Linked DNA regions of Lytechinus pictus. The protein of the gene in region 3 purifies or fractionates together with the protein of the main gene of each other region. This does not show direct contact. Links are inferred from orthologs where the notes say so. Each region holds a gene or a part of one and is shown on either strand. Other genes may lie near its edges. The genes, in order: BTB/POZ domain-containing protein KCTD5-like, kelch-like protein 2 and cullin-3-like.

Region 1 (10,075 bases), on a different chromosome or scaffold from region 3:
ACATGTAGATATGTATATAAGTGAATATTTAATGTGTGCTATTGATTATGTAAATATTACTGATTCAATTATATTAATTATAATAAATTGTATTTTATGACAGGGCCGTTGTGGAAAGCAGTTTTGAAACTGACAATGCCACCCTGTATAAATAAAACTACAAATGAATAAAGTCACTGTTCTTTTCAGCAGGCAGCAGTATGTCTTTTACATTACTATTCTTACAAGAAGAAGCCCTTGTTCTCTTCATTGTTGTTTCTTAATAGTTTCTTTGTACATTATTACATTATCTTCTTTTCTTATCGGTATTCTATTTCTACAGGTACATGTAGTATTATCTTTGTAACCTTCTTTAAAATTTGTTTTAGATTGATGGTTGATGTATGCTTAATTTGTGTATGCAGCTGTACAGTATGTGTCATGAATGAAGCACTCATCCAATATACAAGGTTATGATATTGTTCTCTGTTACGTAGTACTTAGGACTCCCTATGTGGTGAAATTGGCAATGTTTGGCTTTATAGTATATATGTATTTTTACTTGTTCATGGGGATAAATGCTTGATTTCTTTTTACACTGTCAGTTTCCATTTAAAGCTTTTCTCCATATACAATACATGTAACGTGGCTCTAAAGTAAATTGAATTCTTTTGATATTTTTTTTTCTCAGTAAAAAAGAGATATTGTTGGGGACAATTCAGACCAACTTCACTTCCCATCAGTAGAGGGCCCACACAAAAATGTGCTCAAAATAAAACATTTATAGTGCTCTGGTGAATAAGAAAAATTGATACCAAAGTTAATTATAGCATTAAAAATAAGAAAAATCTTAACTGTATGAAACTGTATAAAACTTTTTGATTTTTTTTTTTTTGGGGGGGAGTTAGTTACAAAAGTGATATTTCAAAGATTTTTTGATTTTTTTTAAATATGTATTGTATGTTGCATACATGTAGATCCGTAGATTCTCCACAGGCAATGTGGTTGCACTGAGCAAAGTCCTGCATTGCATTGTATTGCATTGTCAAGTCCATCCCAGGAGAATGTTCATTTGAATAAATAGAGAAAAATCAAACTAGCATAATGCTGAAAATTTGATCATAATCGGATGTAAAATAAGAAAGTTATGGCATTTTAAAGTTTCGCTTATTTTTCATAAAACAGTTATATGCACAACGTAGTGACATGAAAATGAGAGAGTCGATGATGTCACTCACTCACTATTTCTTTTGTTTTTATTGTCTGAATTATACCATTTTTCATTTTTTACAGATTTTACAAGGGCCAACTTGATTGACCCATGTAGTATTAAAATAATGTTAATTCCACATGTTTAGGGAGGAATTAATCTCTGTTTCACTTGACAATGAGGTGAAAATAAGAATATTCAGTATTTCATGTAATAAAATACAAAAGAAATACTGAGTGGATGATGTCATCAGTCTCTTCATTTGCATATCGACAAGGATGTGTATATAACTGTTTTGTGAAATTAAGCGAAACTTTAAAATATCATAACTTTCTTATTTTACATCCGATTTTGATGAAATTTTCAGTGCTATGCTCATTGGATTTTTCTCTTTTTGTTCAAATCGACTTTTTGTTAGGGTGGACTTGTCCTTTTAATATTAAGGTACTGTTACATATAGACAGATCAATTAATTGTAGTATTGGCCTGCAGTGATTTTTGAGGGGGGGGGGGGGGTTGGGGTATTATAATTTTTGTCTCACCTGCATAGCAGAGTGAGACTATAGGCGCCGCTTTTCCGACGGCGACGGCGGCGGCGACGGCGACGGCGGCGGCGGCGTCAACACCAAATCTTAACCTGAGGTTAAGTTTTTGAAATGACAGCATAACTTAGAAAGTATATGGACCTAGTTCATGAAACTTGGCCATAAGGTTAATCAAGTATTACTAAACATCCTGCCTGAGTTTCATGTCACATGACCAAGGTCAAAGGTCATTTAGGGTCAATGAACTTAGACCATGTTGGGGGAATCAACATCAAAATCTTAACCTAAGGTTAAGTTTTTGAAATGTCATCATAACTTAGAAAATATATGGACCTAGTTCATGAAACTTATACATAAGGTTAATCAAGTATCACTGAACATCCTGCATGAGTTTCACGTCACATGACCAAGGTCAAAGGTCATTTAGGGTCAATGAACTTTGGCCGAATTGGGGGTATCTGTTGAATTACCATCATAACTTTAAAAGTTTATGGATCTGATTCATGAAACTTGGACATAATAGTAATCAAGTATTACTGAACATCCTGTGCAAGTTTCAGGTCACATGATCAAGGTCAAAGGTCATTTAGGGTCAATGAACTTTGGCCAAATTGGGGTATTTGTTGAATTACAGCCATAAATTTGAAAGTGTGTTGGTCTAGTTCATAAAACTTGGACATAATAGTAATCAAGTATCACTGAACATCCTGTGCGAGTTTCAGGTCACATGATCAAGGTCAAAGGTCATGTAAGGTCAAAGAACTTTGGCCACGTTGGGGGTATTTGTTGAATTGCCATCATATCTCTATAAGTGTATTGGTCTAGTTCATAAAACGTGGAAATAAGAGTAACCAAGTATCACTGAACATCTTGTGCGAGTTATAGTAGTTTTAAAAATCAGCACTGCTGCTATATTGAATCGCGTGATGCAGGTGAGACGGCCAGAGGCATTCCACTTGTTATTGAATTGTAATTATTATTGTTATTGATGTTACTAGTTTGTGAATTGAATTTGTTGTAAAGTTGATTGTGAATTGATATAGGTATTGCAATTGAAATTGTTATCATCACTCATGTGCAAATTAGAATTTAATGGTAATTCAGGCTGCAAATAATCTTGAAGAGCTTGCTAACCATAGACAGATGCAACAAAACGGGAAAGTCTGACTTGAGAGAGATTATAGACTAGAATAAAGGAATAGTAGGAAGGACAGTAATGCTATAAATAAATAATAATCAAAAAGGCAATTTTTGGTGCTAAATTCGTTCACAATTTCATTTCAGTAAAACTGAGCGAGACAAAACAAAATAAAAAATAGGATTCAAACATGAATCGTTTGAATTGAGAGAAGCCGTCAGTTCAAAGTATGATGGGGAATCAATATCATTGTATTCAATTGATCTATTCAGGGATCATTTCCAGGTTAAGAAATTTTGTGATTTTTTTGAGCAACTTGTCCAACATCGCCTTGCGTTTGGGTGACTTTAGAGGTACATGTAAAATGAGACACATTTCTGAACTCGGAAAGAAATACATGCACAACGAAAATCCTTCCCTAATTAATTTATCCGTGACCAATTCCAAAGCGGAAAATGGGTCTCAGGAGATCATGAAGACTATGCCATGTCAATTGCCGTTTTCGCTACGTTCTCAGTACGCTGTACATAGCAGTCCTAATGCACCATGGCTATTTTTCTTTGATGCAGCAAGAACTGCATGGAGTTCTAGCATTGGTGTAATGGGGGTATGCTAGCCTACTAGGGCTGTGGAACAGAACATTACATTATTTCCACCTGCTGGAAGAGGAAATATATATTTCATAATTCATTCTTCAAACCAACTTAAATAATATGATTTGATTCATACATGCAGGCATAGTGGCATACATCTTCATTTCCCAACAATCATTGACAATATACCACTGAACTACACAAGAATGGATATTGCTCTGCCTAATGGTGTACTTTATCTGGTGGAAGGGTATGTGGTCACACTCGGCTGCTGAAAATCAATAAGTTACTGATGTTATGTAATCAGTGGTGCTTGTTAGGGCTTTTTATTATTGATCTTTAGTTATTTTTGTCTTTTATTGCATTTTCACACTAGTGGAAGACTATCTCTGTGGTTTCTGTACAGTCTATGGTTTTGATTGAAGAGGAACTTGCAGAAGGGGGGAATCAAAGCTGCAAATATTGTTCATCACTTTAATAGAGTTGTGTTCTCATGCTTTTTTTCCATAATATGTGTATTCATATTTTTGCTAATAATCAGAAAGCATATACGGTCACATTTCATAAGTTGGGTATGCAAAGAGGGTGGCGGATGAACAATTTTCCACACGGTGCCATGGATAAATTGTTGTACATCACATCATCTTGACCAAATATATTGAGTAAGATCTCATTTTGAAGCTAGAACTTTAGGCTAAATATATTACTATAAATTAGATCAATACAATATCAGGAATAAAAACTATAGCACATTGATTTTGAAGTAATGGTTGGCAGGACCGGTGGATGCGGTGAATGATAGAATGTTAATCAAACTTAATTAACAACTTAATATAATATGTAATATGACATCAGCCTCATTTCTTGGCAGTTTAAAAGCAGGGAACAACTAAATGTTATCAAATTTGACATTTTTAAAATATGCAGGAATGAAATACATGTGTGTGTCAGCTCTGATCTGCAACCTAATCAATTAAGAAATTTGGTTAATTATCTAATTTTTAAACTTGATTTTTAGCACAAAAGTTGTGTATCATTTCAACAAACATTTCTACCCATGATGTAGTCATTTTGCCAAGCATAAAACAGTGACAGGCATTTTTGGGGCAAAAATGTGAAATTAGATATTGTTAATTAATTATTGTAATTAATATGCATACAATGACAGATGATTATTTGATTTTTGTTACAGATTTATTTATCGATGTTAAAAGATTAAACTGCAAAACTACTAGGGTGATCCAATGTGGCATTAACTTTTGACACCATTTTATGTGCAGCAGGTCCAATTTGAGAAATCGCATTTCAAAATTCAAATTTACATTGACATCTATGATGTAATAATTAGCTGTTAATTAGTCATTTTAAGGGGGAAAAAAGGTATTTGAGACTTAAAACTTTTTCATTATTTACAGAATGATATATCAAAAAATATTTTTTGGGGCAATTTTTACCCTGTTTGCTAAATTGGACCACCTTATGACATGCGGCCACATTCAACATGTTTGAATATTTTAAAGGGGGAGTGAACTGTGTGTGGCCTCTCATTGACTATGTGTTATTAATGCATAGTCTTATACATTTTCAGATATCTACTACTGTACATGTATAAACACTATAGAGAATAAATTGACCTATGATTGTATTTTAATAGAGAAACTAAAATGTTTTGAAAGGAAAAGTAATTGTTTTGCTACTTGGTAACATAAATATTACGGTATAAATGTATTGAGTAGTTAATGAGCAGGTTATCATTCAAATGGGTCTATATTACAAGACTACATTATGGGTCAGGAAACTGGCCAGGTATGAATAGTTGAGGACTCCAGATGGTGCTATTGGTTCCTGTCTGCTTCAAATGCAATTGTTGATGCCTTAAATTTTTTATTTTTTCATCTGGGTCTAGTTTCATAGAGACTTGTTATAATACATGTAAGAAACGCACAATTTCTATTACAAATGTAATACATGTATATCACCCAATCAGATTGGAGGATTTCAGAAGCTTTTAACTGTAATTGCAAATTTGTCATTATCTGCCCTGACCAGTTTGACCCAGGGCTGACTAAGACCTGTTCCTACACTGTGCATGAATATGCCTCAGTTATTGACGTATTCTAAAGTGTACATGCATATAAACGGCAATTACATTGGTAAAATGGTTACCAATGTTCATCAGTAATATTCCATAATATTGCAGTAAGATACTATCTAAAGCAGCCATTCTCAATTACTTTTTTTGAAGCGCCACATTTCATGTTGAGAATCTGTAATGCTCCACTGTCCATTGCGCAAACCAGCAATGTATCAGCGGAGGATGTTCAGAGGCCCCTGGTGGGGGTCGAGGGGGCAGAGCCCCCAGACGTTTTGGAATATGAGGCCTTTTAAATTGCCCAGAGGGGCTCTAATTAATATCAACAGAAGAAATACAAATGCCAACAAACTACACAATATCAATAAAAAATATAAAAAAAGACCAGTGACTTTTTCCCAACATACCAATGATACCACTAGTTCAGACTGTTCTGCCCCAGATATATTGGCTGAAGCAAGTGGCGTAATGAGTAAAAAAAAAATGAGGGGGCTAGATATTGCAGCTGAAGCAAAAATATTGAACTTTGCAATACAAATATCTATATTTTGACATAATATTAAGAAAATAATACAATATTCCACTCTTTCCCTTTCCTTTTCTTTCCCTTTCTCCTTTTTTTTCTTGGCTATGAAACACTTGGGGGCCCCCAATCGCCACACCCCCATCTGTACGCCAGTGGTTGAAGCTACGTTCCCCGATTTTGCAAGGGCTGAAAATTAGGCGTTGCACTGCACTAACGCCCCAACTGCCCCTCTCTCTCTATAACTCACGTGCAGTATCATTCATTCAGTTCATGTTAAAGGAGAATGAAACTCTTGGAGCAAGTTAGCTTTTGTGAAAGCAGAAAAATCAAAGAATAAGATCAACAAAACTTTGAGTAAAATAGGACTAGCAATAAAAGAGTTATGAGCATTTGAATGTCGAGATCACTAATGCTATGGAGATCCTCCCATTGGCAATGCGACCAAGATCTGTGATGTCACACACGTACAACTCTCCCATTCGGACACTGAAAATATACCCCAAAACATCTCTTTTTGCTCATTCTAATCATATGACAAACGATTCATCAATGATATAATGTTGTGAAACCTCTGTACTTGTCATCTCATAAAGAAAACACCTAACCTTGTGATAGACTCGAATAAAAGTGAGAATATAAGTGAAATAAGTACTAAAGTAATGAGGGAGTTGTACGTGTGTGATATCACAGATCTTGGTCGCATTGCCGATGGGAGGATCTACATGGCACTAGTGATCTCAATATTCAAATGCTCATAACTTTCTTATTATTCTTTCAATCTTCCTCAAACTTTCAACAATATGTTTCTTTGATTTTTCTCTTTGATATGGATTCAGCTAGTTTCAAGGGTTTCATTCTCCTTTAAGCAAGAGTGTATGCAGGCAATCACGGCAGACAATGCATCTGAGCATACATTTATTTCACTTTTATAACATCGGATTTTAATCGGCTTCGAAAACAAAGTTTCTGCTTGTTATGTCCCAAATTCATAATCTTTTATGATCAGGATGTTCTTTGAATATCATATCATTTGATGTTTAACTCTTAACCAAAACGAATACTCTGGAAATGCAAAATTTCTCGCCGTTGAAATAGAAATCCTACAAACGGGGTTTTCAAATCACTTGTGCGGCACAAAAACTTTGTACAGCGTAGAATAAATAAAAAGGAGAACACCATCGATCCTCCATAATAGGAGTTATCAAGTGCTAAATTGGACAAAATTTGAGGAAATCAATTAGCAATTAAGTGTCAAGTAAAGAGTTTTTGTTTTCTCTTTGTATTAAAATGATCACCAAAACCTTATTGCCATGTTACTGGTAGATACATTTTTTCTCCCTTATTTTTCCTTTATTTTTTATACCGGCTCCCAAGCGCCACTCCGCAAGGCTCGGTGCGCCACAAGTGGCGCGCGCGCCACCTATTGAGAACCCCTGATCTAAAGGGTAATAGTCTACAGTACATGTAGTACTACAGTATGAACAATAGGCCTATAATATTTCCTTGACACGCAGATCAAATTGTGGCATGTCTTGAAATGAGGGAGATTTGACATTGATGTGATATCTTTTGAATGCTATCCTGCAGTAAACCTTATTCCATGCAATGTGTGCTTCATTCGTTTAGAAATTAAGTTGATAATGTGAATACACCCATTTTGAAAGAGTTTTGCCATGAATTGGAAACAACTGATGATGAATGCATGTTTAGGATGGCCCATAAATATTACATTTGACCTTTCGTACTGTATTGTAAAAGTTATACATGTACACAATGTCTATGAGTATGAGATGATAGCTTCATGCATATTATTGGGGCCTACTGAAAGAACCATCTCGCAAATTATAACAAATAATTCAAATTTACGACTTATTCCTTTCTTGGGTTATTGTTGCAGAATTGTATACATGTAGGGATATGTTTATGCAGGACTTCAATATATTCTTTAAAGTCCAAGCCCAACCCAATGTCAAGTCAAACAAGCATGCTATTGCTGCTATTTTGATTTAATTTGGGATGTACATGTACATGTAAAACAGGGGAATGCATTTTGAAATACATGTATCATTTAAGTTTCATTTTGATGCCTGTGTACATGTACATGCACAACAAAAAATGACTATGTCTATGGTTAGCAAGATTCAAGATTATTTGACTTTGCTTTTTCTTTTTTTTTCCCTCTTTATGTAGGATGAAACTGGTGCCTATTTGATAGACCGAGATCCCATGTACTTCGGACCTGTATTAAATTATCTTAGACATGGAAAATTAGTTATCAATAAAGACTTAGCAGAAGAAGGTAAATGAACATTTAAGTATTGGTGTGTTTTAACAGAATTATTATTTACATGTATCTAGTTGGCCATTTGGTAAATTGCCAGTTCGTCCACTGCCAACTCGTCCACTCATTACATGTACATGGGGTCAGATGCATAAAAAGTAGCAATTGCTGGCAAACAATCGCTTCAACCACAAGCAATAGCTAGCCAAGCAAAAGATCATGCTTCAGCAATTGCTTTATTTCATATGCATAACCCTTTGCTAGTGCTTGAACACTTTTCTTGCCTTCAGAAAGCAATTGCTAGTGGTTTGAACAATAATGACGTCACGCTCGGGCGAACACGACTCACAGAAAAGGCAGGACTCCAACGCGAAGGTGTGGCAGTGCAAATTACTGCTTCTTTCATATAACATCTTTTCCTCAGACGTGGTGTCAAACTAACTTGTTTCTTTTTGATATTTATATTTGTCATTTTATTTGCACTTAAATGTATTAGGAAGAAAATGTACGTGTAGGCTACGGTACACCTTGGGGTTCTCTCACAGGTGCATAAACATGATTAAAAAACGTGAACGCCTGATCAAGCAAACGCTCCAGCTGCTCTGACAGAGCTTGAAGAAACCAAGCAAGTGCTTAAATGCACAAGCAAAATGTTCGCTTTCTGCATACCGTTACGCTTTTTAGCAATACCCGGTAGCTTTATTGTCAAGGAAATGCTAGCAGTCAGTTAGCGATTGCTTGAACTTTAATACTAGTATAAGCATTTGCTCGCTTATTTTTATGCATATGGAATCAAGCAGAAGCCTAGAAAAAGCAATTGCTACTTTTTGTGCATCTGACCCATGGTCTACCTTCATTTAAACTAATGCCTTTCCGTCCAACATTTCGTCTACCAACTATTTTGTCAAATCATCACTTGGTCTAATTCACCAGTTGGTTTTTTGACCATATTGTCTAAGAACCAGTTGGTCTGATACTTGTTTTATTTTCATTCATTTTGCCCAATTAACACTCAGTCTAATTAGACCAAATGGTATATGGACTAAATGGCTATTTGACCAACTGGTTATTAGATGAAATGGTGACTGGATGAAATGGCAATTAGACCATGTGGATATTGGACAAACTGATGGTAGACCAAATGATAGTAGACAAGTTAGCAATTGGACAAATTGGCATTGGACCAAATGAAAATAAACCAGCCACTTGAATGGGCACTATATAGCCGCTGGTTTACATGTACTGCCCCAGCAATTGTTTCCAGTGGTGGGTGCATTCAGGAATTCTACCATGTAACCATTCCAATCACCTGGGTTGCTGTGCACAGCACAATTTAGATGAATTTCTTGTTCATACCATGGCTGGGACATTTAAACCCTCAACATTTTGAGTCAGACCTTGACATCCCCTTCAAGTACCAAGAAATCATGTTATATATATATATTATTTAAAGAATATTGAAATCATTAATACATACATGTACAGTGTATGCATCATAAATTCTCACTACCTGCTGTTTGGCCATCAGCCTAGAATACCAATTACCTATCAGACCATCATAATATTAATAGGAACCCATTTCTGGTTTACCAAATACCAATAGCAATGCCCATTATACTTTCTATTTCATTTTTAAAAGTGACACACTTCACTAATTACCATTTGTACAGTTAACTTGCCTCATTGGTACATGTAGGTAATAATATACGAG
Region 2 (10,467 bases), on a different chromosome or scaffold from region 3:
CCCCAAGTCTGCTTGTCAGGAATGACATGCCGCTTTGCTCTCATAGTTTGCTGGTGACCTGGCCAGTAGCTGAAGTGCTCCTAGATTTAAGAACAATAACATATTTTCTTGTTAAATTGTTGGGATTCATTTAAGAATTATTCAAAACTCTAACTTTAATGACAAGTTTACTATAAACAAATACAAATTTAAAATGTTGAGACATAAAAAAAGTTATGTTGCTCTTGACAACAGATAGTCTTGTCTGAGGCTTTTCTGCATCAAGCATGTAGCAAATAGTTTTTCCTCTGCCGATGAACATTTTTTTAATTACCGGTACATTTTCGAAGTCATTGGTACCCACACATGAAGATTCATAAATAAGATTGCTTAAAATGATTCATTTGTGAATGCAACATGTACGTCAAAGCTAATTTTGAACATGCATTTTCAATCATATGCCCAATTATCTTTGAGAGTTCTGGTTGTCTGAGACGCAAAGTAAAGAGATAGTACAATTACAGTTCGCACCTACATTTAGTGCTGTAGATTTCAACAGTGTGTATTATTATGACCTCTGCATTGAATCATAAGATAAAACAAAATTGAAAGTAGACTTACCCCTCCTTCATTTACAATCCATGACGCGGACACCAATGCGACTGCATCATCTTCGTCTTCAAATGCCACAACTGCATATTCATTCATCTGTTGAGATAAGAACAAATTATGATGAAGCAATATTTGATTACTTCTTACCTGTACTTACAGAAAAGAGCCTGCATTGCATCCCTGTACAAATACACCTGTCAATTTACTTGGTAAAACATGTATGCTTAACATCTTTGATGGAAGAAAGGTATCGGATCAAAGGTGAATAACTTTGCCCATATACATGTAGATCAAACCTGAATACATTTATGTCCCATCTAAAATTGTATTAACCTTTATTTTTTTGCTATACTACACTTTAGTACACTGTACCTCAGGTATTTGCATTGTGGTACATGGCTGAATATGGAGGAACATGATGGCTAAAAAAACCAACCTACACCCATGTACATGCAAGGTACACATCTCCACATTAGTTGAACTCTTATCAATAAAAAAACTGCACAACACAGTTTTGGTATAAAACTGAACCTATAATAAAGTCAAACACATTTTCTTTTCCCCAAATTTCAACTTCGTGAAGTTGACTGTATAATTTCTCATGTTTTTATTTACCATTCAGCAATGCAACAATGCCATGAAGATGAATGTATTTCTGTCAACATCAAACTTCAGTGCTTTCTTCTTCAGAGATTGGTGTGGAACCATCCGCATACTGGTATTGCGTTTGCTTACTTTGTGGACACCAATTATTTTGGAGTCACATGGTAAAGTGAAGGCATTTTCACTCTTTGTGTAGACTCTACACAGGAGAAGTTTGTCATCATTTTCGCTGGTCTCATTGGTTTCCTCTTCTACCTCACAACACGAAGATTCACTAAGAATATAGCAATTATCAGGTTTCTTTGTAGATACAACAGAAGCCTTAGATGTTGAAACACTTTGAAATTGTTCGCCCTCACACAATCGCTTGATTATTTGTACAACAGGTCGCTTGCCAGATCTCACTAGTTTTTTCATGTACTGAAGGTAATTCTCGAAAGGGAATGCAGCGCACAAGTTCAAGTTTCCAAATAGACGCGCTTCATCTGCCAAGTGGACCATACTGTGGACATTATATACAAGGAACTCCTGACCATACAATGCACATCCCTGGTCATTAAAGTACACCAAAAGTTCTTCCGCAAATGCATGATATTCTGCAGTAAGCCTACTGTTCACAAGAATGCATGTAGCCACACTCAGCGCCATGAAAAGGTTGTATTGGACAGATGACAATACTCCTTTAAGGCAAACTTTCCCAGTGTACAGGAGAAACTGTCGTAGCTCTGTTGCCTTCCATCGATCTATCTCGGAGAGATGACGAGGCTTTCTTTGAAAGTCATTGGTTATGGAGCCCCTTAGCCCCAGAAGTTTCTCACTAACAATTTCCACATGAACAGCGCCCAATTTATAATTGAGCAATCTTCCCTTCCCGCGCATCCAAATAAGGATCAACTTCCTCATAACACCCAGGCACGATTGGTGCATGAAGTCTACTGGGAAACACTGAATCATATCAATTGGCAACTGGCAGAAAGGTGTATCACCATTATGGTGTTCTGGAGATTGCTTGGCCCGAAATGAAGCATCTGTTCTTTTCTCCAAATTACTTGTCTCAGGGTATGTCATTCTGCCCTTCCATTCTCCTCTCTGTTCACACTTATCACATCCGTGGTATCCTGCAAACAACTTAGTACCCTTCACCATGGCTCTAGCAGGAGCATCACAGACAATGCATTTCAGGTGAACTTGGATTGCTTTCCCATCCACAAGGAGACCGTCTGCCATAACATTGCCCAAGTCTCTAATTGTGTCCTGAAGAAAATCAAGGTTTGAAGGTTTCGAAAGGCCATACGTTAATGCCACTGGAAAGACGTGCACAGGTGAAGCATTTGTAATCGAACACAATATCGGCCATAAACTCTTTGATGTGTCCTTGTGAAGTGGAATTCCGTCAATATTCAGAGCAAGATGTATAGAGTCAGCATCGTCGATGTTTGTGTTGCAGGTCTTGTATGCTTTGGACAATTGTTCATGAACTCCCAGGTATACATATTCCATTCCAGATGCAATGTCAGTCTCAACAGTCTTAGGAGTTTGGAGCAATGTACGAGCTGTAGCTGGTAAATCTGGGTGTCCATGCCTCTTTAAGATTTTTAGAAGACCATCAACTGCATTATGTTTAACTTGGTAGTCATTTGCCCATTTAGCCAACTCATTTTGTACACCGATGTGCGGCTCCTCACCCGAGTGATCTGAATGTTCGTTCTCTGACTCTGAATCAAAAGATAAAGGCGGATCATCACTATAAGAGCCAGAAGACAATGGGGTATCAGCACTACCATCTGCCAAACTATCACTCGAATCATCACCAGCAAGAATGGCATTGTCAAGTTCAATTTCCCTTTCTGGCTCAAAGAGAAGTCCTTCTGTTCCATCTTCCACTGCGAGAGCTTCTACATCACTCTCACTGCTGCTCGCTACAACATTGCGTCTATTTTTTCTCGATGCACGATGAGCCCTCATCCATCTTCTGTTGTATTCATTTTTTCCTGACCATGATGCACACATTTTTGCGATCGATCTAAAAATGAATATAACAAAGGAACATGAACTAAGCAATGAGGCAAATAAAGCATTTCCTCTATTCCACCATTGCCTTTAAAGGCTTTAAATCAGTAATTCCAGAAATATACATGTAGTTTCTTTCATTACGGCAGGTCCAACCGGTTCGAACAATTTTCCCTAAACATTCATTTACATTGTTCTTTATAAAGACTTTAAAATATTATCGTACACAATGTTTGTTTTGTTGTGAATCTCACAATTTTTCCTTTGCCTTTTTAGAGGCACCATTGTAAAGTTACAGACGTGTGCGTCACGTAACGTTGGCGAAGAACAATAGTAAACAAGACGGCAGCGTAAACATCGGGCAAGTTTCTTCCATCTTTGCATAATATTTTTCTCATTTTTTTAATGAATTCTTGTTTAAAGATAAAATCTATGGCGTAGAAATGTCGGAAATGAAGTTGTATCCCATGAACATGATTTAGGGCTAGATCTTTTTAAGTAGAAATCTCGGGGGCGAAATTTTCAGGTTTTTTGGCGGTAGACGCAGATAAATGGGAAGGAATACCTGGCTTCAATGAGAGTAAGCATACGTCAGTAAATAATTTTTACTCTCTAACTTAGAAGTACATGTAGGATGGGGGTCGGGTGTCCGGACACTTTATATTTTTGAAGCCTTCTTTTTTGTCTTTGGATTACACTAAAAATATGAATTCAATAGTTGTAATCATCTTTTATTTTGTTCTATTTAATAATTCCTAACATTTTGTACTAAACATTGATGAAACTTTGCTTGTAAATTTTTCCAAATGACTTTCTATAATTGATCGTCCGGACACACAACCTGTCCGGACACACAACAACTGGGTATAGAACTAACGTTAGAGTAGAAGCCTCCAGGCTAAGTCAAATGGAAAGTCATAACTTAACTTAAAGAGAAAATTCCAGTAGTTGCAGTAAACACTGATTTCATGAGAAAGTCTGTAAAACCAGGCTTAATTGTCAGTATATCATCGAGGATCTAGATCTGGTACAGTATAAACTGAACTTTGTGAAATCTTGAAATCTACGCTGAAAATGTTCAGACTGAACTTCCCCAACACTGATAAGCGCACGTGGGACAGTGTATAATTATTGCTTTGAGCGTCGGGCCCGACGCTCTACCCGAATCCTGTGCTTATTTGCTGATTTCTCAGTAATTAGACAATTTCTTCCAGTTCCAGAATCCTTTGGCACATGCGTTTTATTTATACAAACAGACACTTTGGTGGTCATTTCATTGGATTCTGTACGAACTCATTTTGATATCGTTACCAAAACTAGCATTTACCTTTAAAGTTAAGTGCAGCGCTGACGGTAGAACTAGAAGGAGTGGAGAGGTGAACTAGTAGTGACCATAATGCTGAATTATAGGACTTGTTTCTTGCTAAATGAAATGTCTTTACAAGTGATAGACGTTAGACTTATTAGTTCTAACGTTCCGCCTTAATTTTTTTCTCTCGTTTTTGTTTGACATGCACGTTAATCGCTATGAGTATTGCATGCAGCGATTCCTGCGCAGCATGCATGCATCATTGCATGTAACCCAGGGAGCTCCCGCCCGCTGCGCGGGCGGGAGCTCCCTGGGCCGGGTTAGCATACATGCAGACATTCATGACCACAACACAATGCACAATCCTACACTCTGATTTCAATCATGTCTTCCCACATTTTGTACGTCTCAAATTCACTCAAAAACATTTAAACACCTAACACATATCAAAATTGTAAATAATTACCTTGAAGTCTCACAGATTTGGTTGAAAGTTCAGGATTTCTTGAAAGATTGTGAAAGGCACACAATGGTTGACACACGGCATTCAACGGGAAATTCGAAAGTATATACCGCATGGGATGAGATGACGTCATCGATCAGTACAAGGCTTGCGGCCTCGTTCGATAATGTGTAAATTAGAATTCATGGTACAAACAAGTAAAAATAAAAGAATTTAAAATTACCAAAAAATGAAATTAAGCAAGGAAAATTAATAAAAAAACATGTTATTTTTAGGTTTATTTCATCGTGTATAATTATTGGCATGTTTTAAAATATAGCTATTTGATTTATTGAACTGGACGTGTAAAAACGTTTGGTAAACGTATATACAAAAAGTTTATTTTTGTAACGTCTAAAAACGTTTTGTAAACGTCCAATATCGAACGTTCTGCAAAAGGCCTACACTAAACGTTCTGTAAACGTTCTATACAAAACGTTCAATTTTGTAACGTCCACAGAACGTTTTTAAAACGTCCTAAAAAAACTCAACTTTGACGTAATATGAAGTCCAACCTTAAAACGTTTTAAAAACGTTTTCAAAACGTTCATTTAGGACAAAGACGTACAGGACATAAAAAAAACGTTTTCAAAACGTTCTGAAAACGTTCTTTGTTTGCTGGGACAGTACATAGGATCAAATATAAACTTCTCATATTAACATTCAAATGGATTCATGGTATATTGCCCCTGCTTATCTTCAAGAACTTGTCCAAATTCATAACCCAAGCATAATCTCCGTTCTGGCTCTCAAAATCTTCTCTCCGAAATTACTGTCAAGACCAAATCATATGGGGATCGGGCTTTCCTAAAAGCTGCACCAGCACAATGGAATTCTCTACCACCGACATTACGAAATATTACCCAGCTTGAGAAATTCAAAGTACAATTAAAAACCCACCTCTTTCAGAATGTTTAACTGAGTCACATGTAGGTCCAATCCATGTTTAATATTCTTTGATGTTATGTATAAGTATTTGATGTCTAAATTTTAAATTTACAATTCTAACCTCATTTCTTGCTTTCCTCGCGCATAGAGACCTGTAGGTGTTATGTGTATTTAAGAACTGTACTATTATTATTATTATAGTGAATATACACATGTAGTCTTACTATTGCAGACTCTGCATTATGCAAATTGCGAAAACCAACGGTCTGTGCCTGCAGACTAGTGGTCATAAGGAGTGTTGAAAGAAAATATATGCAATCAATTGCAAATTTCAGTTGCAAATTTACAAGTGGTGGATCATTTTTAACTTTGGCAAATAAAATCATAGTTGTTGGTACAGGATCAGATCAGCGGTCAATTGCAATTTTGCAAAAAAATTAATTGCAAAACTTCTGATTGATTTTGGGGCCTGAAAATTAATTGACTTGCAATCGATCGCAAGTTTCTTGCAACACTCCATTAACAACTTTTGAGTTGACCACTTCATTTTCTGGTGCAGAAATATGAACTACATGTACCTGTGGTTTCAATGTTGTATCTACATTGTAGGAAAAACCTTGCCTTGTACTAATGTTAATATAACACACCAGTCTGATATTGGATAATGGCAGGGCAAGCACTACATGTACGTTCTAGATTTTTTCTTTTACCAGTGACAAAACTTATATTTTTTCATATCACTTTGAGACAATTTCTTTGATGTAGTTTCAATCTCATGATGGGGGGGGGGGGGTTCACAAAGATTTAAGTATGACTTACAATCGCACTTAAACACTCACTGATGCATATATGTTATATAACGCGCAATCTTATTGATTAGTACGCAGTAGTGTGCGTCCTCTTGGCAAGATCTGACCAATGCGGTACCGGTACTGCCTTTTTAATGCACGCAACTGGGCATTTATTAAGTGCGATTCATAATCTTTGTGAAACACCCCCCAGAAATATTAACAAACATCCTTACGTTTTTCACACTGCAGACATTGCTGCCTGCTGCCAGTTTACTGCAGCTGAATGACGTACGAGACGCATGCTGTGACTTCCTACAGAAGCAACTCCATCCTACGAACTGTCTTGGTATCAGAGCGTTTGCCGACGTGCACTCGTGTAGCGAACTTTATCACTATGCCCAGAATTATACCATGCAGCATTTCAGGTATGCTCCTGTTCTTATCCATGCAAGAAAAACCGCTGTTTTGACATTAATCATAATAGAATAGATATATTCCTATAATTATAATGGAATAGATATATTCCTATCTGATGTTTGAGCACACAAATCCAAATTTGACTCGTTTGAAGAATATTGTGTTTTGGACTCTGAAGAAAACATATTTTGGATTTTAGAAAACAGAAAACTGGTGACTTTAATCAATCACAACAGTTAATAGTATGCCACAATTGAAAACTACATGTATACTATATGGATTTCATGCCATGCCATTAAACAAGATCTAAAGAGGTTTTGCTTCAGTTTATATTTCTGTATCATCCTGCATATTTTGTGTGTGATCGTTGTAACTTGGATAGCTGTATTTCAAGTACATAGAGCACTTTTAAATGTGTTTGAACTATACAAATGTCAGATTATTATTATTCCATTAAATTATCCTTTTTGTATGTCTGACTTCCATTTTTGTCCATTCTCATTTCACTTCCTGAACTGCCCAAACCATGACAATTTGGGAGCATTACGGAAAATCACGGAAAACGTATTTTCCCTCAAAATAAACAGAATAGCAACAGAAGTTACTCCAAAATCACAACAAAATGAGAATATTAAATGGCCACAAAACCCCAGAAAACACGATCTCACTTGGCTACTATCATGACAATTCACACATCGTGACTGCACTCGACATCAGCACACTCGATTGTACCCCGTACCCGGCTGGCCGGCCGGGTTGGGCTTCACATGCACACATATCGTTCAACTACACGGTCGTGTGTTGCTGCCCTCTACGTTTGAAGATGTAACAGCACGATATCATGGTCTTAAAATCCAAGATGGCGGATTGGCAAAAGCCGTTGACTGATGATAACGATGTCCAAAAAACCCAAAAATTATCGATGAAATGTCATTTCACCGTGAAATAATGCTAATAAAGTGAAAGGTGAGGATATATGCATGCTAAATGGGTTTGTAAAAATATTTTATGCACCCGCATAGATCCGATTAGAACGGATTCTATTGTGTTGTTGGTATACAGTAGCAGATACAAATTTTGACCAGTGCGAGTGTACATGTTGTGATTTTGCTATTCAATGTGTAAACGGAATTGTCACTTTTCCGTGTGTACAAAGTCTATGGGGAAACGGAATTTCCGTTTTCTGACATGCTGAAACGGAATTTAAGATTTTCTGAAACGGAAAAGGCAATTTTTTGAAACGGAAAATCACTGTCCCTAGACATACTGTACTTCTTGGAATTGCCCTATTAGTATTATTAGATGCAGCTCTGTTTGATATAAAGCATACCATGCTACATATGTTTGAACCATGAAGTTTAATACCCCTTTCATACTGCCCTCTTCATTTTTAACCGGCGGACTTCTCTGCCTTGCATTCCTCACTTCCCCGGCAAAGAAAAAAATTTACCCTTTCGCACTGACATTTCTTCTCTGGCGAAAGTCAACGGGCGATTGGCCTCATTCGGCATTTCTGCGGCACCACGATTATTTATTTCCTTTAATTGTGGAGATCTTACTTGTTAGTAAAGTTGTCAAGATGATGGCTAGATCTAGTAAACAGTGTCAGTATTCCCTTGATTTAGTCAGTGCTCGGCACGTGCAGAACAAACGAAAGAAAATTGTAAACATTTCTTATTACCTATTACAAAAAGGTATTAAAAAAAAATTAATTACAACATATTTTGGAAGTATTACGAGAAAAACAAACAATATCACTATGTTTTTATATTTTAGCGCATTTTATACATGTAAAAAGTGCTTTTTGATAAATATTGTTAGTAAAAAAAAATTATGTTCGAGGGTATCTACTTGGCCATAGCATTCAGCTGAGCTTGCAACTATCGCGCGTGGAATCTTGGTACAGGGGACTTCGGGAGAGAAAAAAAATTGACCTCTGACGTCATTAAAGAGGAGAAGTTCTCCGGTTTGCTTTCATACTGGCCTTTTCACCGGCGAACTTCGCCGGTGAAACAGTTTCGCCAGCGAAGTTCTCCACCTCTAGAGGTGGAGAAGTTCGCCGGCGAACTTCACCGGGGAAGTTCTCCTGTGTACCTTTCATACTGGACACTTTCCCCTTTGCTGGCAAACTTTGCCGGTGAAAAGTGCAATATGAAAGGGGTATAAAATGGAATTTCCTTGACATTTCATGTCTGTTGAAGATATTGTTATATTTCTGTTTTGATGTACAGTGCGGTTGTCCATAGCGATGAGTTCTTTGCACTCCCTGCTGCTCAAGTCTGTGAATTGATAAGCAGCGATCACCTGACAGTTCATTCCGAAGAAGAGGTAAGATATCACGTGATATCAGATCAAACCTGTTGCAGAAAGAGTTTTTTTTTTTTAAATCAAACATACATTCCAACTGTCCATTCCTCATTGGTTGAAAGTGGTCACCTGACAAATCATTCAGAAGGAGAAGCAAGAGGTCACATGATATCAGACCAAACCTGTTGCAGAAAGAGTTCAGTTTAAACTCAATTGAAGAAAAATAATCAAACTTTTAAAAGTCACAAATGCCTGCTTCTGATTGGTTGAATATCGTGTGATCACCTGACAGTTTATTCAGAAGAAGAGGTAAGAGGTCACATGATTTTAGACCCAGGCCTGGTACACGTGACAAAACATTATGACTGATTATACCATAGAGTTGATTTGTATGCTTAATTCAATATAATGAACTTTGCTATCAAGTGCTATTAAAATCAGCCTTATGATCAAATGCTAAGATTCGTATTATGGGTCCCAAATCTGCAACCATTCTGAATTGATTAAAGAATCTAAATTTAATAAAAAATGATAATAATACATGAGATTTGTATAGCGCACTTTCCATCTTGATTAGATGCTCAAGGCGCTTCAGAGCAGAACAACAAAAAGTATTTACATGTAATACATGTCTGAACAATAAGTCAATGTCTATCAAAAACACTCTTATACAGGTATGTTTGGACCATTCCTAGGTCTTTTCCTGATATGTATTGTCTATTTTATTGATAATGTGCGTAATACACTCCTCCTTGTATGTTATATCCTTTTCTGTCTGTTCAACCATTTCACATTGAAGATTTATTGCATTTTCTTTTGTTGTTAGGTATTTGAAGCCGTGGTATCGTGGGTAAAGCAGGATCCTAGTAACCGTAGCGACTACATGCCTCAGCTGGTTGAACATGTCAGATTACCCCTCCTCTCAAGGGACTACCTCATCCAACGGGTCGAGGAGGAACAGCTCATAAAAGGTATCTCGTCTGATTCTAATTTTCCACAGGGAGTGTTGAATGTGCGTACATTGCAGGCGGGCAAGCCTCACCGAGTCT
Region 3 (10,655 bases):
ATTGTCAACGTTGTTCTGCTGAACATATACCCTGTCCTGTAGGTAGGAAGCGGACAATGCATGAATGGTTTGTGATCAGGAGGAAAGTACACAGGGGCTTGGGGCAATTTCACCCCTAAGTAATATGCTCAAAAGAGCCATGGAAATTATACAAAGTGCCCAAGAAAATCCCCATTCACTTCAGTGTTAATGCTTATTGAATGTAGCAGATTTAGGCAATTTCTTGTAAAAAGTAGCCCCTGGAAAAAGAAAAATTCTTGCCTGATGATAGGTTATGAAATAAAACAGAATTAATAGTATTTTCTTCTAAATCCTCCTGGTTTCATATTTCAAACTTGAGCAAGGGAATATTATATAAATCAAACATGAATTTCATGAAATATTTCAAACGAAATCAATGAAAAAATATTGTAATTCTTGAAGGTTGACCTCAAAAACATAAGTCAAAACTAAAACCCTTGCTCAAGTCAAGTTATTCATAAGATCTTTCTCTCTAGACTATTAACTTTTATATTCAACCCACTTTCTGGCACTTTAAATCAGCAACTATATCTTGGTTCTTTGTTTTATTTCTTTTTTTAAGAATGAAGAGAACAAAAAACAAAAATGGTAAAGTGTACTGTGCACATGTACTCTGTAGAATAAAAGATGTTGCAATACAGAAGCCTAGATTTCTATGGATAATTTTTTTGTTCTTGTACCTAGATCTACTTAGTGACTTTCATACAATACTACAACATTTAAAACACAAATAAATATACACACCATATACATGAGAATGTCTCGGATCATGATCATAGCTGTCTGATGGTCATTCCATGCTCCGTTCAATGTCTGCAGAAAGTTATTGTTGAGTGCTTTTAAAACTTCCACACGGACCTAAAATAAGAAAAAAAATTAAATGTAGAGGTGTTTACAAGGCTATACTTCAGAATTGACAGGAGTACGATGATGGCTTTTCATGAAAATTGTCAGCAGAAACTACATTGTCAGGTCTGGCAATTTCAGCGAAAAACTTATGTTTTGATTGGCGGAGAAGCACTCGTCTCTGGCAGTTACTTATAAACTGTAAGAGAATGATAATTTGTCAGTCCTGACGAGCTTTGTGAAATGGTAGGCCTTCCCGGTATACCAGGGGTGACTTGAAAAGAGTTGAAGATTTGAAACCAACGCAAGTCATATCCAAGACATATTGCTTTTCAACCTAATTGGAAGTGAGCATTTGAGAGATTTTGATTTCTGGAAAGGGCCCCAGATGACAAGGAGTTCACACAACCTTTTTTTCCATCCAAATTTCATCACTTCCTCTGCTTAGGCAAGTAGAAAATACTAAAACGATATTAGATTTTGAATTAAGATTACGAATTTAAAAAAGAAAATATTGACAAAAAATAACTAACTACATGTATAATCCAAACTTCAATATGATGGCAGGGCTCCCTTGTAAAGCAGGCCTCTGGCTTGAATGGGAATATCATGCTTTTTATAAAGAAAATATGAATGAATGAATAAATAAATAAATAAATAAAACAACTATTAAAAATATATTTCGATTTAAGGAAATGTAAAGTACATATTGGAAAGCTTTTCACCTAATGTGCATTTAATGACTCATATTAGTGTGTGTCACTGTGTGATACTGTTTCATGTTGTAACTGCTGAACATGTAAGCTTCTAAAAGAATTTGCCCTTCCAGAGGCCCACATGATTGACAGCAGCCACATAGGCCTTCAATAAAGTTATCAAAACAAAGAGGGTTCTACAAGGCCAATAGCACATGAGCCTGTAATAAGTGACATGTCAGTCTTTTGAACAGACGTCATCTGGAGTTAGTGATACTGCCTTGTCCGTCCCACACCTGTCCCTTCTCGAGGTACATACTCACCTTTTCTACCAAATGTTCTGTGACGACGTCCCTCAGTCCCGTGTATAACCTTTCGCCGTGCTTATGGAGCACCATTGTGTACGCATTTCGGTAGAGCTCCTCAAAGCTCAGGCCACTGTTGTTTTTTCTCTGTATTTCCTGGATGGCATTCTTGAGCAGGTTCCAGATGCTGGACACATACTTTTCATCCATGTTTGTCTGAAAACAAAGGGAAGAAGTAAATGCATTATTCATTTGTACTTTACACTACGTCTACTATACACCCATTTAACGTATCCGTATCAGCCAACAGGGTACTTGTACATGTACTGTATGTACTGTATGTAGGCTCACATGCAATGACATCAACATTCCATTTCAATTACCCAAATCCAACATGTACATGTAGGCCTACATGTACAATTTATACATGTACCAAGGATATTTTCCAAATATGTAAACCTTAGTTGGTCAACATAAATATTTAAAAAAATTAGTTCAAACTAAAGATGTGCATGTAACACACAAGTAAAACTACGGTAGAAAACACTACAAAGTGCATTACATGTAGTGAAGTTAGTGGAAATTATTAGTATTCTTAATTTTACCCGTACTACATTTGGAAGTAAAATAAAGGGGGGGGGGTTGGGCTAGAACAACTCAATATCCATAACCTGGATCCTGTTTTTAACTACATGTATGTACATGTCTATGTATGTGTGTGTACTTGTAATCACCAAGAAAATGTAATTCGTTGAAAACTGTAGTTCTCATTAGATGAAAACAGAACTCTCTAAAGCTTTGTTGTACTTAGCTTTGCCATCCTAGGAGTAAATCATGAAGCATCATCGCATTACTCATTTCAGGCATGATATTTCCCTTGAAAAAGAATCTGAAAAATAGCCAAGGGTGGCTAAGTCCCCGCCGGAGTCCGAGAAGCCCCTGTCGGGGTTACAAGCTCTTGCATAGTGAAATTGATAGTGATTTTTCAAGGTAAGTCTGCATGATAGCTTTATCATTTAACTTGAAAAAGCAGTAAAAAACTGCATGAGAATGTTCTTGGGCAAAGGATTTCACGTAAAAAAACTAAAAATCAAAAATTAGAAAATCTGAAAAAATATCATGCCTGTCTTTTTAATGACAAATTTGCTCTGAACCAATGAAATGCAAAGATTTCATTGAATGGCAACAATGTCATACAAACTGTTATGCAATACTGTAGGTCCTGGGACAGGTTGGGGTGTTAACTTGGTAAAAACACATATTTCTTTTTTTTTTTTTTGAACATTTGGTGAAACTGTACTTACATGTACATATACATGTATTATCTACATGTATCAAATAACATGAACACATGTACATGTAGGAGAAGTGAGGGGGGGGGGAACGATGTCCAAACACCAGTTAAATCTATCAAAAAAACTGTCTATTTTTTCATATCTGGGTTTCCTTTAAAAAAAAAAGGAGTAGCAGAAATGACTGAAAGTTTATGCATCAATTGTCTCATATTACTTTCAAACAATTTAATGTCCAAACGCAAGTTAAATCTTCACGTCTCGCAAAAACTATTATCTTTTCTTTTTTTTATATCTAGGTTTTCTAGCAAAAAAAAAAGAGTAGCAGAAATAATTGTTTCGTCTAATATTACTCCTGTCTTGATATTGCCGACTTGTCCAGATAAACGACCCGCCCGGGCCATATCGTAACCTTGTTCATAGAATGAGTGCGCCCGGGCACACAACTGGGTACATGTACCTGACGAGGTATATACCCAGTTGTTGTGTGTCCGGACAGGTTGTGTGTCCGGACGATCAATTTTAGAAAGTCATTTGGAAAAAATTACAAGCGAAGTGTCATCAATTTTTAGTACAAAATGTGAGGAAATATTATAGAGAACAAAATATAAGATGATTACAACTATTGAATTCATATTTTTAGTGTAATCTTAAGACAAAAAAGAAGGCTTCAAAAATATAAAGTATCCGGAACAGGCGCTCTAACCGACTGAGCTACACTGCCTCCACTAAGTAAGACTCTAAGACTCTAGAAAATGGACAAACAATAATATAGAAATTGACGCAAAATATCAGCTGGGCATGAACGCTTTGTCTGTTTAGCCTTTGTCTAGTTGGTCAATTGTTGTCTAGACTGACTCGAGAGATCCTAGGCCATTTTTTTTCCATAAAAATTCCATGTTAAGTCCTAAAAGGCTAAAGTAATTGTTGTCTGTTGTTGAGTCCCGGCCCCCCCCCCCCCCTCAAACACAAATTATGTTTTTGCAATCCCAATAACACCTTAGTTCTTGACTTAATAAAAATAATAAACATTCTACGATAAACAATCTGTGTAACTTAGATATCTGAATTGCAGAACATACTGGAAAGGCACGAATCCTCATTCGAGAGTCTTTCTTCGGCGGTGGTGCTTTCATCGAGTTACTCATGTTGGCGACGTTGTTCTGGATAATTCAAAAATGACAGGAAAAAAAACACAAGACAAGTCAAGTGTCAAGTCAGTCTACTTGCAACAGTTTGAGGGCTCTTTTCTGTAGAATTTCCAGAGCCTATGAAAAATTATTCAGTGGAGTCATATTGGATCATGCCACTTCAATTGAGGCATCCGAGTATATGAAATAATTGTTATATTTTGAGAGTTTGTCGAATCTGGTGCAACCATAACACGGGTGATTCACTGCATTGCGTTCACTGTGTTTACGGATGTAGGCGAGCTCGAAGACTTGTTCTTCATGGACTCCGCTATTGCTGCACCTTCGTTTTATGTGGATTCGCGAATTCTATTTTGGAACAGTGACTCAGCTGGGTAGTTTATTCTGAACTAGTTTCATCGAATCTCCGGACATCTATTTGAAATTTCATGATGGGTCACTGATAAAGTGTAGTCGAAGGCTCAGGATATCCTCCAAAAAGGTACTCACAGTACGCCAAAAGTGCAAAAATACGCACTTTTCTGACAATATTTATAGCATTCAACACATGAACGAAGCCTCAACACTTGACCCGATTTGTACACAGTTGGAGAACTACTTTCTTCCACCAAAATTCTTTGCCCCACATTTCTTTTCGAAAGATAATAGCAAGTAACTTTTCATATTTTCAACCAACTGTGATTGCTTTCTTTTGATTGTGTTATATTCTATCTCCAGATTCAGATTTGATTCAGAGAACTAACGATAAGCGAATGGATATTATTTTACAGTGAAGTGCAATTCGCCTCTAGTATTCCACGGTTGTGACGTCATAGGTCATGACCATCCATTGGGCCTACTCTGCAAAATATGTTTTGCTGAATTATGACAAAACAAAAGAAAGAAGAAATGGAAAGGGGGGAAAAACAGAGATAAATTATTCAGGCAAATGGCAGTTCCAATGAATACCAACAAATAATCTGAAATATATATATATATCAGTTAACGATATGACGACAAAAATTCAAAGGCGAATTCATCTTAAACGTATTTAGGTGAAATATAATACTTCAAATGGTAGGTAATTCTCTGTAGCCTACCTTCAATATATGTCATTGTTATAATTAAAAAGCACTGAAAACTGTAAATTGTTATGCTTATAGATATTTATAACTCTATAGAGAACTCTAAGATTCAGCTGTGCCTTACATTCTAATAATGATACAAAAATAGTGATTGGTTGTATTTTTTGTTGATTATTTAGATTTTTGTGCTTTATATATATGATAAACCGTGAATGTGATTATATATATAATTTTTTTACGTAAATCGTGGATTATGAGTAAAAACATTTTTAAAGTGATAATCCTTTCAAACACTCAAAGACGAAACTGAGTTATATTCAGATTTGAAAAAAAAATATTGAATAAAAAATGGCTAACACAAATTATGTGTCTACATAGTCACGCCAAGAAACTTTTTTTTTCCAAGCAATCATGTTAAACTCTGCATGGATATTGATTTTCAATAAATCTAATTTGCAAGTGTCACTCTGATGCAGCGGCTATTCACTTTTTCCATATACAAATATAATATTAAATTTGCACACCAACATTCTCTAACAATAATTAAGGAAAAGAAAGAATTAGGAAAACAAACTCTACACATTTTAGCTGACAAGCAGGGGCGGCTATCCGGGGGGGGGCACAGTGCCCCCACACGTACTTTTTGAAGCCCTGAAAAAGTGCCCTTTTTTACGCAAGAAGAATGCCCCCTCACGAACGTTTGCATGTTCCCCTTTCACCTGAGGAGGACCCGTTTTAGGTGTTTGCCCTTTCTCGTATAAGTGCCAATTTTATTTCGCAAAATGCCCCCTCTCAAACGATTTATGTGCCCCTTTTACCTGAGAAGGACCCGATTTGTGATTGTGTCAGAAATTTGCAATTTCTCGAATCTTTGCCAATTTTTACCAAAATGCACCCACACGAACGTATTCTGTGCCCTTTTTACCTGAGAAGGACCCGTTTTAACGGTGTGAGCAAGTGCTCCCTGATATTGTTGGCTAGCAGCCCCCCCCCCATTTTACCCAAGAAAGGTGCCCCTCACGAATGTGTTGTGTGCCCCTTGAAGGACCCGTTTTATGTGTGAACAAGTGCCCCTTCCTTCTTCTTTGTGTCCTATTTCGTATTAGTCCCCCTTTTTACCCAAGCAAGAAAGTGCCCCACACGAACGTGTTCTGTGCCCCTTTCACCTGCATGAGAAGGACCCATTATAACGGGCTCGGTGTAAAAATGACACTGAGGTAAAAATGGCAGAGGTAAAAATGGCAGAGGTGGTGGCAGAGATAAAAATGGCAGAGGTAATAATGGCAGAGGTAAAATGGCAGAGGTAAAAATGGCAGAGGTCATATTGGAATAGGCCTAGGTAAAATCGTCTTAAACCCCCATGCAAAAAATGAATAAATAATGAAAAATAATAGAAAGGGTCACATCTTTAAAATCATCTAGATAGATCGTCTGCACCAAATTGATAATCTTTTGGTTGGAATATCTTATTTTTTCTGGACTCTCATGGACGGCCTTCTCATGTCAAATCGCTGTACTAATATTCAAATTTGAGGCACACTCTAGATCGCAATTGTATTTAATTCATTAAAGGGGAAGTCCAACCTCACATAAAATTCATTGTAGAATAGCAGAAAATAGTAAAATGATATTGGTGAGGGTTTTAGGAAATCCATCAAAGATTAAAAAGCTATACTTTTATACTTTTATGATAACGTCATTTGCGAGCAGTTTTCCCATATTTGGTGTATAAAAAAATCAATGAAATGTAATTTTCTAGAAAAAAAATCAAAATGGTTTTTATTGTTTCTTCAGTAGGCCTATATATCAAGAGACAAATCATTTCACTTACGCTCCTGAAATATTTTTTAAAAACAATTACGAACCATTTTGTAGTGCGTAAAATGTCATGGGACAGTTTCCCATATATGACGTCACAGACTAAAACTTAAACTTCTAATAACTTTCTTGATCTTTGATGGATTTTTCCTCAAGCCTTCACCAATTTTCTGCTATTTTTATTGTTCATTAGGGCAAACTACCTCTTCAAACAGCCCCCAGAGAATGGTACCTATATATAAGAAACACCCATAAATTTAAATCCCTAATTGGCTACACATTTCAAAATTCATGAGGTAACAGTGACCATAATACACTAGTTTGGGAACCTGACATCCACTTGGACTATAGCTGCAATGAGGTATTGCTCTAAAGACTGAACAATAATTGTAACATTTACATTTAATTATACGTATCACATTAATCAGGGGCAGATCCAGGATTTTCCAAGGGGGGCACATTATTTTTCCTGAAAAATGACACGCAAAAACAGTTTTCCACCTACAACTTAAGGTAATTCGTCCACAAAAATAATAAGCAAGCAAAAAAAGTCCTCGCTTTAAAAGGGGGACACATTTGAGTTAGAACCGCACATTTGCTAAGATTTTAATTGTACCTCTCAAGGGGGGCACGGGCCGGCTGTGCCCCCTGGATTTATTTATTCATTTTATTTATTGATATATTCATATTCCACAAGTCATCAAAGTATCTTTCGTAATAAATCATTTTTACAATGAAAAGATGCATCAACTGCATAACACATACAGGATTGAAACGTATACCAATGAAATGAAAAAAAGTGGAGGGGCATACTAAAAAAGCAAAGCTTGTAAAATGTAGACCCCCTATCAAAATTGTATACAAGGGTAATATGATATAAGTATATAGTAAAAATAATCAGCAAAATTCTATAAATTTACATAGATAGAAACACTGTAACACAAATGTTTATACACTATATACAAAATTAAATATTGACTTTAAAATAATCAACACTACCGTGCATGGATAAGCATGAAGTTCACAAAATATTTGATTAAATCAATAAGAATTCAGAAGAAATTTTTTTATGAGTAATTTAAATCGGTTCAGATTAGCTGCCTCTTTTATTACTCTGTCCAGAGAATTCCAGAGTTTTGGTCCTGTGAAAAATAGTTTTGCTAGAAAATACTGTTCTACTTTTAGGTATAAGTGATAGTCATTTGACTGTCTCGTATTATGAATGCAAAGTATTGTTTCTCATAAATTTCTTTTGTAGGCCATTAGGTACACTATTTCTATTTAGCTGATACATGAATTGGAATAGTTGTAAGCGGTACAGGTCACTGACTGTAAGGATACGTTTCTGACGAAACAATTCATCCGTATGAGCTCTAAAGGACATATTGCATATTATTCTCAGTACTTTTTCTGAAGTAGCAAGACTTTATTGAGTCTCGTTTGAGAGGCATTACCCCATGCCAGAATCCCATAATTAAGATATGGTAAAAATTATTGCACAATATAACATGAATAGCGCCTGTGCTGGAAGAACGTTTTTAAGCTTATTGATGACTCCAATATTTCTTGCCACAGTTTTGCAAATATTGTTGATATGAGCATTCAACGTAAGCTTGTTATCAATAGTAAGACCTAAAAATTTTGTTGTTTGGATCCGCCAGTGACATCAATATCTATTCATCATGATCCATCATGATGTGGAAATAAAGAAAATTACTTTTATTACAGAATGTTCAATTATTTTTTGTTATCCAGCTTAAATTATGAAAGTAGTTTGAAGTAGACCCGAACTTGTTTGTTTCAGAGGGTTAATGGCTGCACACATTGATGTTTACATTAAAAAAAAATCGTTGGGTTTGCATGTGAAGCGATGTTCTGCTTATAACTTAAGATCCTTTCATCAGTCACTAATTGAAATCATTTTGGCAAGAAAATGCTTGAGTTTAGTCATATAAATGACAAAGTATAGACTTAAAATGACGAAAAACAACATAATATTTAATCAGTTCTTATAGCCCATTTCGTCGACAAGAGTCCGGTCAAGGATGATAATTATTATGACGTAGCCTATCTTTATCATCTTTACCTCCGCCATTTTTACCTCTGCCATTATTACCTCTGCCATTTTTACCTCTGCCATTTTTACCTCTGCCGTTAATCTACCAATAATCCTTGCTTCATGAGTCATGTGAGTGGGGTAGATAAGCGAACATATGGGGGGGGGGGATCTTGCCACCTCAACAAATTTCTCACGACGAAAAAAAAAGAGAAAAGGAAAGAGAGACGGGTGAAATATGATATTATTTTCTGAATTTTAATTGTCAAAATCTATCATAAAATTTGATTTTCGTTATAAAAATGTCAAAAAGAAGAAGAAGAAGAAGAAGAAGAAGAAGAAGGAGAAGGAGGAGGAGGAAAAGAAGAAGAAGAAGAAGGAGGAGGAGGAGGAGAAGAAGAAGAAAATTATGAAATTATTGCTCAGTCATCTATTCTCCTTTTTTTTTACTTCCTTATATAACAATTATTTAATTGCTATTTTTATCTCCTAAATAAATATATATTAATCTTGAAATTAATTTTCTGTAATCCTCTTTTATTTTCCTAGATTATTATATTGCATGATATTATGTCTATATTCAATGTAGCCTATAGTTAATTTGACATACTTTACTTTAAATAATGATATGCATTTCAAATAACTTATTTTTCATAATGACAGACATGACCGAAGCTACACTACAAAGTAATTTTTGTTGTAGTTTCTTGTTTTATGGTTTTTTTTTCTACTACGTAGTAATTTTGAAACTTAATCGAAAGTTATAATTCTTTGTCTTGAATTTACATGTGCTCAAATTTATTGTATTCTAATTTGTTGTTCATTGTGTTGTCGGTCACTCTGTTTTATTAATCTTTGAATCATGTATGTTTTTATTGTCAAAATGTAAGATTTATGTTTTTGTTCGTTTGTACTGCCCCTTTGTAAAACAGGCTAGCAGGTGAATAGGGCTTTTACCGTGAATAAATAAATGAATCAAATCAAAGCAATATCTTGCTAAATAAATGATGCGAGCGCGAAGCGCCAGCTGGAAACGTTTGCTATCCAATATGAAAACGGGACATGTATTCACGTTTTCAACGTTTTTAATAAAGAACGAATTGTCTATTACAGAGATCAAATTAATACGAGCGCGAAGCACGAAACTGAAATTTTTGATCCACACGGAATCGTCGCCATTATAAGAAGTACTTGTTATGCACACATCAGATGCGTGTTCTTCGCTAATGGGGCAAATTCTTACTCTTTTTGAAGTCCAAGTTAAAGAAATCAACTCTTAAAACCTAAAATCTGGACCAGCGCCACCTCTTGTTTAGTAAAATGGAAAAAAAGGTGGCGCATACTTTTCTCGCAGGAAATTTTGAAGTGCCCTGACAAGAATGACGAGATGTTTTTTTTCCTCATTTG

What was found.
Region 1: the proteins of cullin-3-like (region 3) and BTB/POZ domain-containing protein KCTD5-like purify together in Drosophila melanogaster (affinity purification with western blotting; 4 studies listed by BioGRID, with this or other methods). This does not show direct contact. The link is inferred for Lytechinus pictus from reciprocal best matches to the Drosophila melanogaster genes Cul3 and inc.
Region 2: the proteins of cullin-3-like (region 3) and kelch-like protein 2 purify together in Drosophila melanogaster (affinity purification with western blotting; 3 studies listed by BioGRID). This does not show direct contact. The link is inferred for Lytechinus pictus from reciprocal best matches to the Drosophila melanogaster genes Cul3 and kel.

Annotation. Positions count from the first base shown.
Region 1 is NC_087254.1:23,711,136-23,721,210, forward strand, and holds the start of BTB/POZ domain-containing protein KCTD5-like, read left to right. Parts: upstream 1-5,250; coding exon 5,251-5,271; intron 5,272-8,273; coding exon 8,274-8,382; intron 8,383-10,075.
Region 2 is NC_087262.1:4,869,896-4,880,362, forward strand, and holds the start of kelch-like protein 2, read left to right. Parts: upstream 1-6,567; coding exon 6,568-6,588; intron 6,589-6,943; coding exon 6,944-7,119; intron 7,120-9,342; coding exon 9,343-9,439; intron 9,440-10,244; coding exon 10,245-10,389; intron 10,390-10,467. Other genes in the region: uncharacterized protein LOC129265124, read right to left, coding at 1-80, 601-687. UniProt on the Drosophila melanogaster protein: Component of ring canals that regulates the flow of cytoplasm between cells. May be involved in the regulation of cytoplasm flow from nurse cells to the oocyte during oogenesis. Binds actin.
Region 3 is NC_087260.1:19,590,212-19,600,866, forward strand, and holds the start of cullin-3-like, read right to left. Parts: upstream 5,100-10,655; 5' UTR 4,308-5,099; coding exon 4,242-4,307; intron 2,084-4,241; coding exon 1,886-2,083; intron 880-1,885; coding exon 766-879; intron 37-765; coding exon 1-36.